Linked DNA regions of Elephas maximus indicus. The main gene of each other region encodes a partner of the protein of the gene in region 3 in a complex. Links are inferred from orthologs where the notes say so. Each region holds a gene or a part of one and is shown on either strand. Other genes may lie near its edges.

Region 1 (3,748 bases), on a different chromosome or scaffold from region 3:
TCCCTTCTTTATGTTGCTAACTCCTATAAATTCTTCTAGTTACTTTGAGCATTAATTGCCTCTTCCAGGAAGACTTCCCTGATGCCCCCAAGATAAACCAAGTGCCCTGCTTGCTTCCACAGGAGTTTTGGGGTGCAGAGGTTAAGCACTATGCGGCTAACTGAAAGGTCAATAGCTCAATCCCACCAGCTGATACAGGGGAGATGTGGCAGTCTGCTCTCATAAAGATGACAGCCTTGGAAACTGTATGGGGCAGTTCTACTCTCCTACAGGGTCACTATGAGTCGCAATTGACTCAATGACAATGGCTTTTCTACTTGCTTCCAGAGCAACTGAACTTTTCATATCTCATTACCCTATTGCATGGAATCACACAGGACTGCCTCCTTAGTTCACCTAATTCCTAAAACTTGCCTACGAATTCTTTTGAGGGCAGAGGTGGAGTCAACAGGTATCGAGTATTTTAACACACTAGCATTTTCAAAAAATGTCCAATGAAAAAATGAGTAAATGGGCAGGTACTGTATATAGGTTAGAACAGGAGAACTAGAGCTAGAAGTGGCAGTATAGTGTAGTAATTTAAAGGGTGGGGTCTAAAGTCAGCTGCTTAGGTTTGTATCTCAGCCTCTCCACCCACTTGTAAGTTACAGAACATCCAGTTGCTCGAGTTTCCCCACCTGTAAAATGACAGTAATAATAATAATAATAGAATTTGGTTCATAGGGTTGCTGTCAGGATCAAATTTTAAATTTTGATATTTTGTTCATTATGGGTTTTTCTAATTTTGTAAAATATTTCATTAAAATATCATTTATCTTCATTACTTTTTGGGGGGCACCTTCTTAAATGTTGTGCTCTAGGTGAGGGCCTCCTTGTCTCACCCAACTCCCAGCTCTGCCTGCACCTTAGTGCTTCACACACAAGCGGTGTTCAATAAATATTTTTAACTTTTATCTGTTTCCCTATATTTTTAAACTTGGGTATACTTAAAGTGAACTAATATTGAGTGTATTACTCAGCTCCCTAATTGTGCAGAACATTATGCTAAACAGTATAGGGCGCCTTCTCCTTTCACCCTCAGGTACACAACAGAGGCCTCTGTTTTATAACTTTCTCCCCTTCCACTCTCCTCTTTTCCCACTAAGAAGCGCTGTTAGGAGTTCAAAGTTTAGGCATAATCTTCAGTCCTACCAGTTCCAAGAGATTTCCTATACGAAAACGTCTTCAGGTCGTCAAACTTTAAAAAAAAAAAAAAAAATTCCTGCAGGACGGACTACGACGTCAACGCTCCTGGTAGTCCCCAAGAAAACGCACCGAAGGAGGCCACCATCTTCCAAACAGTAGCACTGCATCCGCGCTTGCTCTTCTGCTTGCCGGGCCGCGAAGAGGACGATTTCGTGACTTCTCGGCACCCGTACGTGGCGGAGCGGTAGTGTCAAGGTTTACGCGACTCCCTCTGTACTGCCGGAAGTAGGGAGAGGGGGCGATAATATGGTTGCGCGCGCCAGTGGACGTTCCGGGTTTGGGTAACCTGAGGGCTGGAGTGTAATTGTCGCTAAAGTTTAAAGGCTCCGAGGTGCGCGGGTGGATATAATTCCTGGCTTTGCTAGAAGAAGCATAGTGCGCGCTGAGGTGCGTTTCTAGTGTAAGTGTGCACGTATCCTGGAAGCCGGTAAAGGAGCCTTGGTGGCGCCGTGGTTAAAGCTCTCTGCTGCTCCCGGAAAGGTCGGCAGTTGGAACACCCCAACCGCTCGGCGGGAGAAAGACGTGGCAGTCTGCAGCAGTGTGCTTCCGTAAAGATTTGCGGTCTTGGAAACCCCATGAAGCAGTTCTATTCTGTCATATAGAGTCGCTGTGAGTAGGAATACACTCCACGCAGTGGGTTTGGTTTTATTTTGTCATCTTCAAAGAATTTCACTCTTTTTTCCGTCCCGCTTTAAAAGATGATTTCAGTATTCAGAGAGGCAGAGCCTAGGTTCTAGCCTGGTCCGGGCTCCGCCACTGACTTGCTGCGTGTCTTTATAGACAGGGTCCCATAAATCGTCTTTCAGTTCTTCAGAATTTTATTGCATGCCCATCATGTCGTTTGCGCTACAAAGTCTTGGGAGTTAGATATTATGGTCCCATTTAATAAGGAAGACACTGAGTCCCAGAGTGAGGAGTTCCACGGTTTCCTCTAACTTCCAGCTAACTTTTTGGAGAGTTGAGAATTTGACACTAGAACGTTATGCTGTAACTCCATGACCAGATCTTTTTTGTATATTTCTGTATCCGTGCCTGGCCATGTAACAGTTACTCAGAAAGTTTTGAATGAATCTTTTGATGTCCAGGCCAGTGACTCAAGCCAGTCTCTCCACTTCTCTGATGTTTAAACAAGTCTAACTCTTCTCCAGGTGTATCCTGTGCCTTACCTGATTGAGGGCTCTGAGTCCACTTCTGTGGTCTTCACCTTAATCAGACAGACACCATGGAGGCACCTCCAGTCACCATGATGCCTGTCACTGGGGGCACCATTAACATGATGGAGTACCTGCTTCAAGGTAAGTAAACCAGGGAACTTGGATTACCTGTCTTCCTCTTTTTTTCTTCAGCTTCCCTGGAGATGAGGAACTTATACAAAGCTGACATACACAATTTCTGACACTCAGTAGACAACAACTATTTTTTGTCCCAATATTTTATTATGGAAAATTTAAAGCAGCATCTTAGTTACCTACTGCTGTCATCAGAAGTACCACAAGTGGTAGCTTTAAGGAACAGAAATTTATTTTCTCACAGTTCTGAAGCTAAAAGTCCAAATCAGGGTCTCAGCTGTATTGATTCCTTATTTCAACCTGCCTCTTAGTTCCTGGTGTCTGTCGGTGACCCTTGACATTCCTTTGCTTGTAGCTGGTCCTCAAATGTCATTTGTCTTCTCCCTCTGTGTATCTCTGTGTCCATTCTGATCTTTTTATAAGTTAGAAGTTATTAGGTGTAAGATCCACCCTACCCTGGTATGATTTCATTAACATAAAAAAGAAACCGCCTATTTCCAAATAGGTCATGATTATAGGGACAGGTGAACTTACCAGACTGTCTCCCGCCTCAGTGCCTGTTATGGATTGAAGTGTGTCCCCCAAAAATGTGTGTCAACTTGGCTAGGCTATGATTCCCAGTATTATGTGATTGTCCATCATTTTGTCATCTGATGTGATTTTCCTATGTGTTGTAAATCCTACCTCTCTGATGTTAATGAGGCAAGATTAGAGGCAGTTATGTTAATGAGACAGGACTCAATCTACAAGATTAGGTTGTATCTTAAGTCAGTCTCTTTTGAGATATAAAAGAGAGAAGCAAGCAGAGAGGTGTGAGGACCTCATACCACCAAGAAACAAGAGTCAGGAAAATAGCACATCCTTTGGACCTGGGGTCCCTGTGCTGAGAAGCTCCTTGACTGGAGAAGATTGATGACAAGGAGCTAGCACTCTGAATTCAGTCTTCTAGCCTCCTAGACTGTGAGAGCATAAATTTCTCGTTGTTAAAGCCATCCACTTGTGGCATTTATGTTACAGCAGTGGTAGATAACTAAGACAGTGCCTTTACTTGATGACCCATCCACCCTAGATACTTTTTTCATATCTCTTCAAATGACCATCTAATTTTCATCCTTTGGGTCTCAGCTCAGTTGTCACCCCTTTATAAAGAGGTCTTCTCTGACCATTCCACCCCCTCAGAGAGACCTTCTCTCCTCCCCACTCCACCAGTTGCT
Region 2 (3,748 bases), on a different chromosome or scaffold from region 3:
TGAGCTATATACTTAATGATAAAAAAAAAAAAAAGTCATGGATGTGAAGCACTTAGCGCAGTATTTAGCACATAAAAAAAGACAGCAGCTGTAAGACTTAGGCAAGGTTACCTTGTCTACCTCAACATAAAGGAAACAAAAATCCTCACAACTGGACCAATAAGCAACATCATGGTACCAAACCTGCTGTTGTCAAGTCAACTCTAACGCACACCCACCCTTTAAGACAGATTAGAACTGCCCCATAGGGTTTCCAAGGAGCAGCTGATGGATTCAAACTGCCGACCCTTTGGTTAGCAGCTGTAGCCTCTTAACCACCATGCCACCAGGACTCCAACGTCATGGTAAGTGGAGAAAATATTGAAGTTGTCAAGGATTTAATTTTACTTGGATCCACCATCAACACCCATGGAAGCAACAGTCAAGAAATCAAATGATGTATATTGCATTGGGCAAATCTGCTGCAAAAAAACTTCTTTTAAGAGTTAAAAAGCAGATGTCACTTTGAGGACTGAGGTGTGCCTGACCCAAATCATGGTATTTTCAATTGCCTCATATGCACGCAAAAGCTGGACATTGAATATGGAAGACTGAAAAAGAATTGATGCCTTTGAATTATGGCGTTGGCAAAGAATACTGACTATACCACTGACTGCTAGAAGAACGAACGTATCTGTCTTGGGAGAAGCATAGCCAGAATGCTCCTTAGAAGTGAGGATGGCGAGATTTCACCTCATGTACCTTGGACATGTTGTCAGGAGGGACAAATCTGGAGAAGGACATCAAGCTTGGTCAAGTACAGGGTCAGCGAAAAAGAGGAAGACCCTCAACGAGATGAGCTGACACAGAGGCTGCAACAATGGGCTCAAATATAACAGCAATTGTGAGGATGTCACAGGACTGGGCAGTGTTTCGTTCTGTTGTACACAGGGTGGCTATGAGTCAGAACCAACTCAACAGCACCTAACAACAACATCTTGTCTAGGGCACCTCAGAAACTCCTTCCCTGCAAGTACACCTTTCTGTGTTCTTTAATTTTCAGCCTATGGCTATGTCATTGCACTTTTAAGCTGGGTTCCTTAGGGTCAGAAACTGAGTGAGATGGAGTGAGTAGTACAAGACAAGGTCGTACAAGAAGGGGTCAGATCATATACGGACTTAGCCCATGAACAAAGACTGGATTTTATTCTGCATACAATAGAAACCCATTGAAAAATTCTAGCGAGAAAGTGGTGTGTTCTGATTTACATTTTTAAGGGATAAAGTTAGCTTCTGTGAAGAAAATATTGTTTTGCTTTGTTTGGTTTGGGGGTAAGGGAGGGAGGTGAGTGAGAGCAGTGATAACCAGTCACTAGATCACTGTAATCCAAGTGAGCAGATGAGGGTGCCTTGTATTAAGGTGGTGACAACTAAAAGAGGTCCGGAGAATCAAAATATATATTTTTTCCAATTTGAAACTAAGAAGTCTGTTAAAGATCAGTATAACAAATACACACACATACTTAGGATTATAAAAATTAAACTTACTTTAGATACTTGGCATATTCTGGCTCTTTCCAGTAAAGCAAGTATTTTAGATAATTAACAAAAGCTTTGTCTTTGAAGTAACCTCTTTGGGCAAGAACTGAAAGGCACAAAAAAAAAAAAAAAAAAATCTGTAGGTCAAACCCATCCTTGGGCCACTGGTTTGTGACTCCTAACATACAAAGAATTTGCTTACTTTAACATCCCCACCACAAACACACACTGAATTCAAAACAAGCTCCAGCATGCTCAATTACATCTATACAACAGTATAAGTGTAGCACTAATTCTACTCAATTAAGCTAAAAGGTATAAAAATAGGTACTATTATGAATTGCAACTCTTCTGTCGGAAATCATTAATATTTGTACATATTCAATTTAAGGAGGTGCCCAACAACTTACAATTAAGGTAATTTGGGTTGGCTAAACACTGCACAAATTCCAACTCCAGCTGAAACCGAAGTCGATTTCCAGCATCATCTAGGACAGAAGACATCGAAAGTCACCCAAAATAAATGTCACTATATATGTAATCCTGATTTGTAGAAAGGCCGTAATAAAGAAACCTGACTAATGTTGAAGTACATTTCTGTATAAAGAAGAGTATATGATGATTTTCCTAAACTGGGTGTGGGAGGAGGTAAACCTTCCTTTGAAGTCTAAAAAAAAAGAGGAGCTCTGATTAAAAGGAATAAGTTAGGAGTTTTTCTAACATCAAAGAGAAGTCAACAAAAGCAGGAATATACAGAGTACCTACCACTTGGGGGCCACTGGGACTTTAAATCACTGAAATAGGCTGTAACAATTTTGCCTTCCCCTACCTTAATAATGCACTATAACAACAATCGTTAAGTCACTAAATTAAGGTACAGTTCAGTGAGTGCTAAATCAGGAAAAAACTCAAAATGCAAGCCGAAAAAGACGACTACACAGAGTGTGAAAGACCATGAAGTATGTGCACACCTGAGAAACTTCAATAACAGCAGAATGATACACAAGTTTGTCGACGGTATTTCAAACTTGTGCAAGCTTATTTGAAACGCAGAAAATAAACCGAGGAGGAGGCCATTGAAGATACCTCAGCCTCGCCCACGCCGGGAAGCCGACGGGGTCAGTGTTTGCATAGCAAGCGTGGAGAAAATATCTGAGAACCAACGAAACTCTAAAAAGGCAAAAACTACCTTCGCCTTTCCAGACGCCACAAGAAACACCGCCCCTCCCTCTCCGGGCTCTAATCCTGCCGGGAGTTAGGCCCGAAAGGAGGCCAAGAGGAAACGGGAGATAGTGTCTGGACCAAAAATAGTACTATTTGCGAATATTCGAGGCTCAGAGCGCTACTCACCTGTCTCCATGGCGACGGCAGCGGCCATAAAAACCAAAGACACTTGCCCGCCACCACTCGACAAAACAACTGACCGCAGCCACTGGGTAGATGCCGGAAGTCACAGCTTCACCTTCCGGTCCCGGGGCAGTGTGGGATACCGGGGGCGGAGGTGGGCCGAGCCTCGCCCTGTAGCTCTCAGCTCCGCCCATCGCCGTCCGGCCCCGCCCTGGCCCCGCCCACGCAAGCTTTCGAGGGGCTACCGGCTGGTGCGAGAGCCAAGCCCAAGGCAGCCCGGCCTTTCCTCCGGGAGGTCCTGAGGGCGAGGGGCTTTCAGCCTCTACAAGACCCTCAGTATCCCGTGTCATCATGTTGTGGCCCTCTCGCCCGTGACAGCATCGTAGTCTTCCACCATTGTGCCTGCAATGACATAATACGTCATTATGACGTCATTCCTTAACAAGTGACCCTGTGTCCTAACCCAGAGGCTTGATGGAGGGCGAGCGTGGGCTGTGAGCCCTCGAGGCCTCGTTGGCCCGCGATACAGCCCCAGAATGGCCTCGCCCCTTAGGGGAAAGCCCTCTTCACCCCGAGTGGAGACGGTCCGCCATAAGGAGACTTCGACGGTTCGCGTGGAGACCTCGTCCCACCGCGTGGAGACATCCTCTAGGCAGGTGCGAACGTCTTCCCGTCAGGTGGAGACCTCCCTGCGCCGCAGCGAGGGGCCCCCCACTGCCCCCTTTGGGAAACGGCTCCCTCACGTCCTCGAGGTGTCCTCCCAGCACGTGGAAACCTCCTCCCAGTGCACGGAAACGTCCTCCCGCCACATCCGGGCGTCGACTCTGCGAGTGGAGACGTCTCTGCACCACGTGGAGAGCCCGGCCCGGCGGGACAAGCCGGC
Region 3 (3,748 bases):
GTTCTGCTCTGTCTTACAGGGTCGCTGTGAGTCGGAATCTACTCCACAGCAACAGGTTTATCAGGCCTCCAGTTGGAGATGCCAAGTAGGATATAATATTGAATCTGGGTTCCACTGAAGAGATCTGGGCTGGAATGTAAGATTGGGAGTAGTCAGCAAACAGATGGTGTTCAAACCATGAAGCTTGATGACATCACCAGAGAAGTATGTGGGTTTAACAGAAGTCCAAGGACTGAGCCCTTCAATAATTAGAGGTTGGGAATAACAGAGGAGCCAGCAAAAAAGACTGAGAGGTGAAGTAGCAGTAAAACAGAAGTGTGATGTCTTAGGCATAGCTAACCCTCAGTCATTTTACCAGTCTCAGCTAATAGGTTAATTTGGAAAGCCCTTCCTGACACCCAAGACTATGCTATTCCTTACTGGAGAAACTGTAGTTTCTTTATTATGGAATGTATTATTCTAGTTGTCTATTTAATTGTCTCTTTTCTAGACTGTTGGGTCCTGAAGTGAGACAGTGTCTACCTTGTTCATTTCTGAATCCAAACTCCTAGCACAGTGCCAGGCACGTAGTAAGCACCCCATACATATTTATGGAACAAAAAGATCATTGCTTAGGAGAACCTGGTCTAACTTTGGGGATGCCGGGGAGTAAGAGCTTAAAACTAGGAGTGGGCGTGGTGGGGCTCTGACTACTCTAAATTCGCTCCACGACTCGGCTCCTACTCCAATACCTTTGTAAGAGTGTAATATGGACTCCCTTCTTTAATTCCCAGTTATTCCTTTGCAAGTCACCTCTAAGTCGTCCATCCTCAACAAAGCTGTGTTCGTCGCACACTCTGCCCCCCACCCCCGCTCGCCCACCCGCCCGCCACCGCTCACCCAGCCGCGTGGTGCGCTCCCTCGGCGCCTTGGGCCTGTCTCCAGTCCCATGTTCAGTCTCCAGCTCCTCCTGCTGCTGCCGCGCTTGTTGCAAAATCCGTCGGGTCAGCCGGGGGCCCACATATTCTTCCTCTTCTTCTCTGGTCCTGCGGCCCCTCCGTTTTTCCCGGGCCCCCGCCCGCACTGCGTCCGCAGTCAGGATCTGCTCCGCCAGGGGCGCGTGTTTTTCCCGATCCCCAGCCCCGCGTGCCGCCTTAAATTTTGGCATTTTCCTCAAAAAAGTTACCGGGAAGATTTACACGTGGGTACCGAGGAGAGAAGCCCAGCGCGCTTGCGCAGTGAACTCTCAGTTCCCAAGAGGCAGCGCAAAGAACAGCGCGACCCCCAGCGTTCGGAGGCCAGAAGTGCCATCAGCTTCTCCCCCCCTCCTAAGAGAGCTCGTGAGCCTTGGAGCTAGATACTCGAATACCTTCATTGCTGGTTCCTCTATGGGGTGGCAGTCCGAGCCATGCTTTCGTAGCTTCATGGACCCAGGCCCTGGATGCCCAGCCAAATCTCAGTTTCCGAAGCTGCAAACCTAGGGGCGGGAACTGAGCGGATGACGTTGCTGGAGGCGTCACCCAGGGGTTGCCCAGGCAGGTCTCTTTCCTCGTGGCGCGTCGACTAGGCGCACTGTTTTTACGTAACTTCCGGGGCGTTTCCCTCGCTCGAAGCTTTCCTTAGTGGGTTTCACTTCATCGAGAGTGCTGAGTTTCAACTGTTTGAAGCTGCAACCCTCTTGGCCGGACACCATGGGAGTGACTTGGTAAGACTGCAGGACCGCTCGGGATTTTGTGGGGCGAGACTGGGGGTCGTGAAGGACCTTCGGAGCCTCGAACAGACCTGGGAGGAACTACCAGGGTCCGCCGTCCCCCAGGGAGCTTAGCAAGATGTCTCCGTGTTGTGGGAATGAGAGGCACACTGTGAGGGCTGCGGGTTCTCCGGGCCTGTTTCCTCGAAAATGAGCCCCTGGAAGGCGGCAGGTAAAAGGTTTTATCCCAGAAACCCATTAATGTTTGTATCTCCCTTTTTTCTTTCTGCCTGTGAGGCCATATTACTGCTAGTAATAGGACTTCAGCTTCGGAAGTAGCATCTCCGGCCTGGCACCTATCAGCAGGCAACGCTGGAGGGAGTGGAGGGTAGGCAAGGAGAAGACAGTGTTTCTTTTAGGTTTTTGCCTGATCCTCCCTACAGCCACAAAGTGCAGTGAGACCAGTTTGTGTTTAGTTTCATTTTCGCCGTTTTAATACCTCGGGTCAAGAGTAAAAACAAAGCCACTGAGAATTAGAAGATGGGCTTCTAGTTGCTTTACCTCTTCAGGACGTGTTTCCTACTATGTTGGCTTCCATGGTTGGTGTAGTTTCTATCGGCCTTTTATTTCTAACATGTTGTAAGTCTCAGTTGGAAGAGGGAAAGGTGGGCCTAATGCTCTCAGAGGCATTATTTCCAAAAGGCTTAGTTTCAGGACGTTTTAATGTCATTCCATTCAAAGACATTAAAACATTTTTCCAGTCAGAGGGGCTGGAGCCCAGAATATCTGAAGTCAGTGGCTGTAGGCTTCTCATATAAAAGTGTGTAGGAGCATTTTTTTCTCCTGGTAGCCCAGGCTCTTGAAAGCTTGCAAGTGATTATGCCCATGTTTCCCACAGTTGATATATGATTCTCTTCTGAGTCCTGTAGTGTAAGAGGGATGGGAATGAAAAGTTTGCAACATGGAGGCTTGGGACCCTGGAAACCCCTGACACTTTGTCTGTTGGGACCCTTACCTTTTTTTTTTTTTTTTAAGAATCCTAGGACTTTTGTTTCTCATAGCTTTGGTTCAGGCATTTTCTTTCTTTTTTTTTTTTTAAATAATTTTTATTGTGCTTTAAGTGAAAGTTTACAAATCAAGTCAGTCTCTCACACAAAAACCCATATACACCTTGCTACACACTCCCAATTACTCTCCCCCTAATGAGACAGCCCACTCTCTCCCTCCACTCTCTCTTTCCATGTCCATTTCGCCAGCTTCTAACCCCCTCCACCCTCTCATCTTCCCTCCGGGCAGGAGATGCCAACATAGTCTCAGGTGTCCACCTGATCCCAGAAACTCACTCCTCACCATTTTCCAACCCATTGTCCAGTCCAATCCATGTCTGAAGAGTTGGCTTCGGGAATGGTTTCTATCCTGGGCCAACAGAAGGTCTGGGGGCCATGACCTCTGGGGTCCTTCTAGTCTCAGTCAGACCATTAAGTCTGGCCTTATGAGAATTGGGGGTCTGCATCCCACTGCTCTCCTGCTCCCTCAGGGTTTCTCTGTTGTGTTCCTGTCAGGGCAGTCATGGGTTGTAGCCGGGCACCATCTAGTTCTTCTGGACTCAGGATGATGTAGTGTCTGGTTCATGTGGCCCTTTCTGTCTCTTGGGCTCGTAATCACCTTGTGCCCTTGGTGTTCTTCATTCTCCTTTGATCCAGGTAGGTTGAGACTCATTGATGCATCTGGGATGGCCACTTGCTAACGTTTAAGACCCCAGACGCCACTCTTCAAAGTGCGATGCAGAATATTTTCTTAATAGATTTTATTATGCCAGTTGACTTAGATGTCCCCTGAAACCATGGTCCCCAAACCCATGCCCCTGCTACACTGGTCTTTGAAGCATTCAGTTTATTCAGGGAACTTCTTTGCTTTTGGTTTAGTCCCGTTGTGCTGACGTCCCCTGTATTGTGTGTTGTCTTTCCTTTCACCTAACGTAGTTCTTATCTACCATCTAATTAATGAATACTCCTCTCCCACCCTCCCTTCCTCCCCCCTCATAACCACAAAAGAATGTTTTCTTCTCAGTTTAAACTA

Evidence for each region.
Region 1: MED20 (region 3) and MED18 share a complex: the UniProt entries of both Homo sapiens proteins name them as parts of the mediator complex. The link is inferred for Elephas maximus indicus from reciprocal best matches to the Homo sapiens genes MED20 and MED18.
Region 2: MED20 (region 3) and MED31 share a complex: the UniProt entries of both Homo sapiens proteins name them as parts of the mediator complex. The link is inferred for Elephas maximus indicus from reciprocal best matches to the Homo sapiens genes MED20 and MED31.

What each region holds. Positions count from the first base shown.
Region 1 is NC_064821.1:68,790,375-68,794,122, forward strand, and holds the start of MED18 (mediator of RNA polymerase II transcription subunit 18), read left to right. Parts: upstream 1-1,470; 5' UTR 1,471-1,576; exon of another isoform or gene 1,577-1,854; intron 1,855-2,393; 5' UTR 2,394-2,467; coding exon 2,468-2,540; intron 2,541-3,748. UniProt on the Homo sapiens protein: Component of the Mediator complex, a coactivator involved in the regulated transcription of nearly all RNA polymerase II-dependent genes.
Region 2 is NC_064837.1:16,396,738-16,400,485, forward strand, and holds the start of MED31 (mediator of RNA polymerase II transcription subunit 31), read right to left. Parts: upstream 2,981-3,748; 5' UTR 2,897-2,980; coding exon 2,869-2,896; intron 2,007-2,868; coding exon 1,929-2,006; intron 1,625-1,928; coding exon 1,528-1,624; intron 1-1,527. Other genes in the region: C19H17orf100 (uncharacterized protein C17orf100 homolog), read left to right, coding at 3,402-3,748. UniProt on the Homo sapiens protein: Component of the Mediator complex, a coactivator involved in the regulated transcription of nearly all RNA polymerase II-dependent genes.
Region 3 is NC_064819.1:106,349,714-106,353,461, reverse strand, and holds the start of MED20 (mediator of RNA polymerase II transcription subunit 20), read left to right. Parts: upstream 1-1,547; 5' UTR 1,548-1,670; coding exon 1,671-1,684; intron 1,685-3,748. Other genes in the region: BYSL (bystin), read right to left, coding at 880-1,147. UniProt on the Homo sapiens protein: Component of the Mediator complex, a coactivator involved in the regulated transcription of nearly all RNA polymerase II-dependent genes.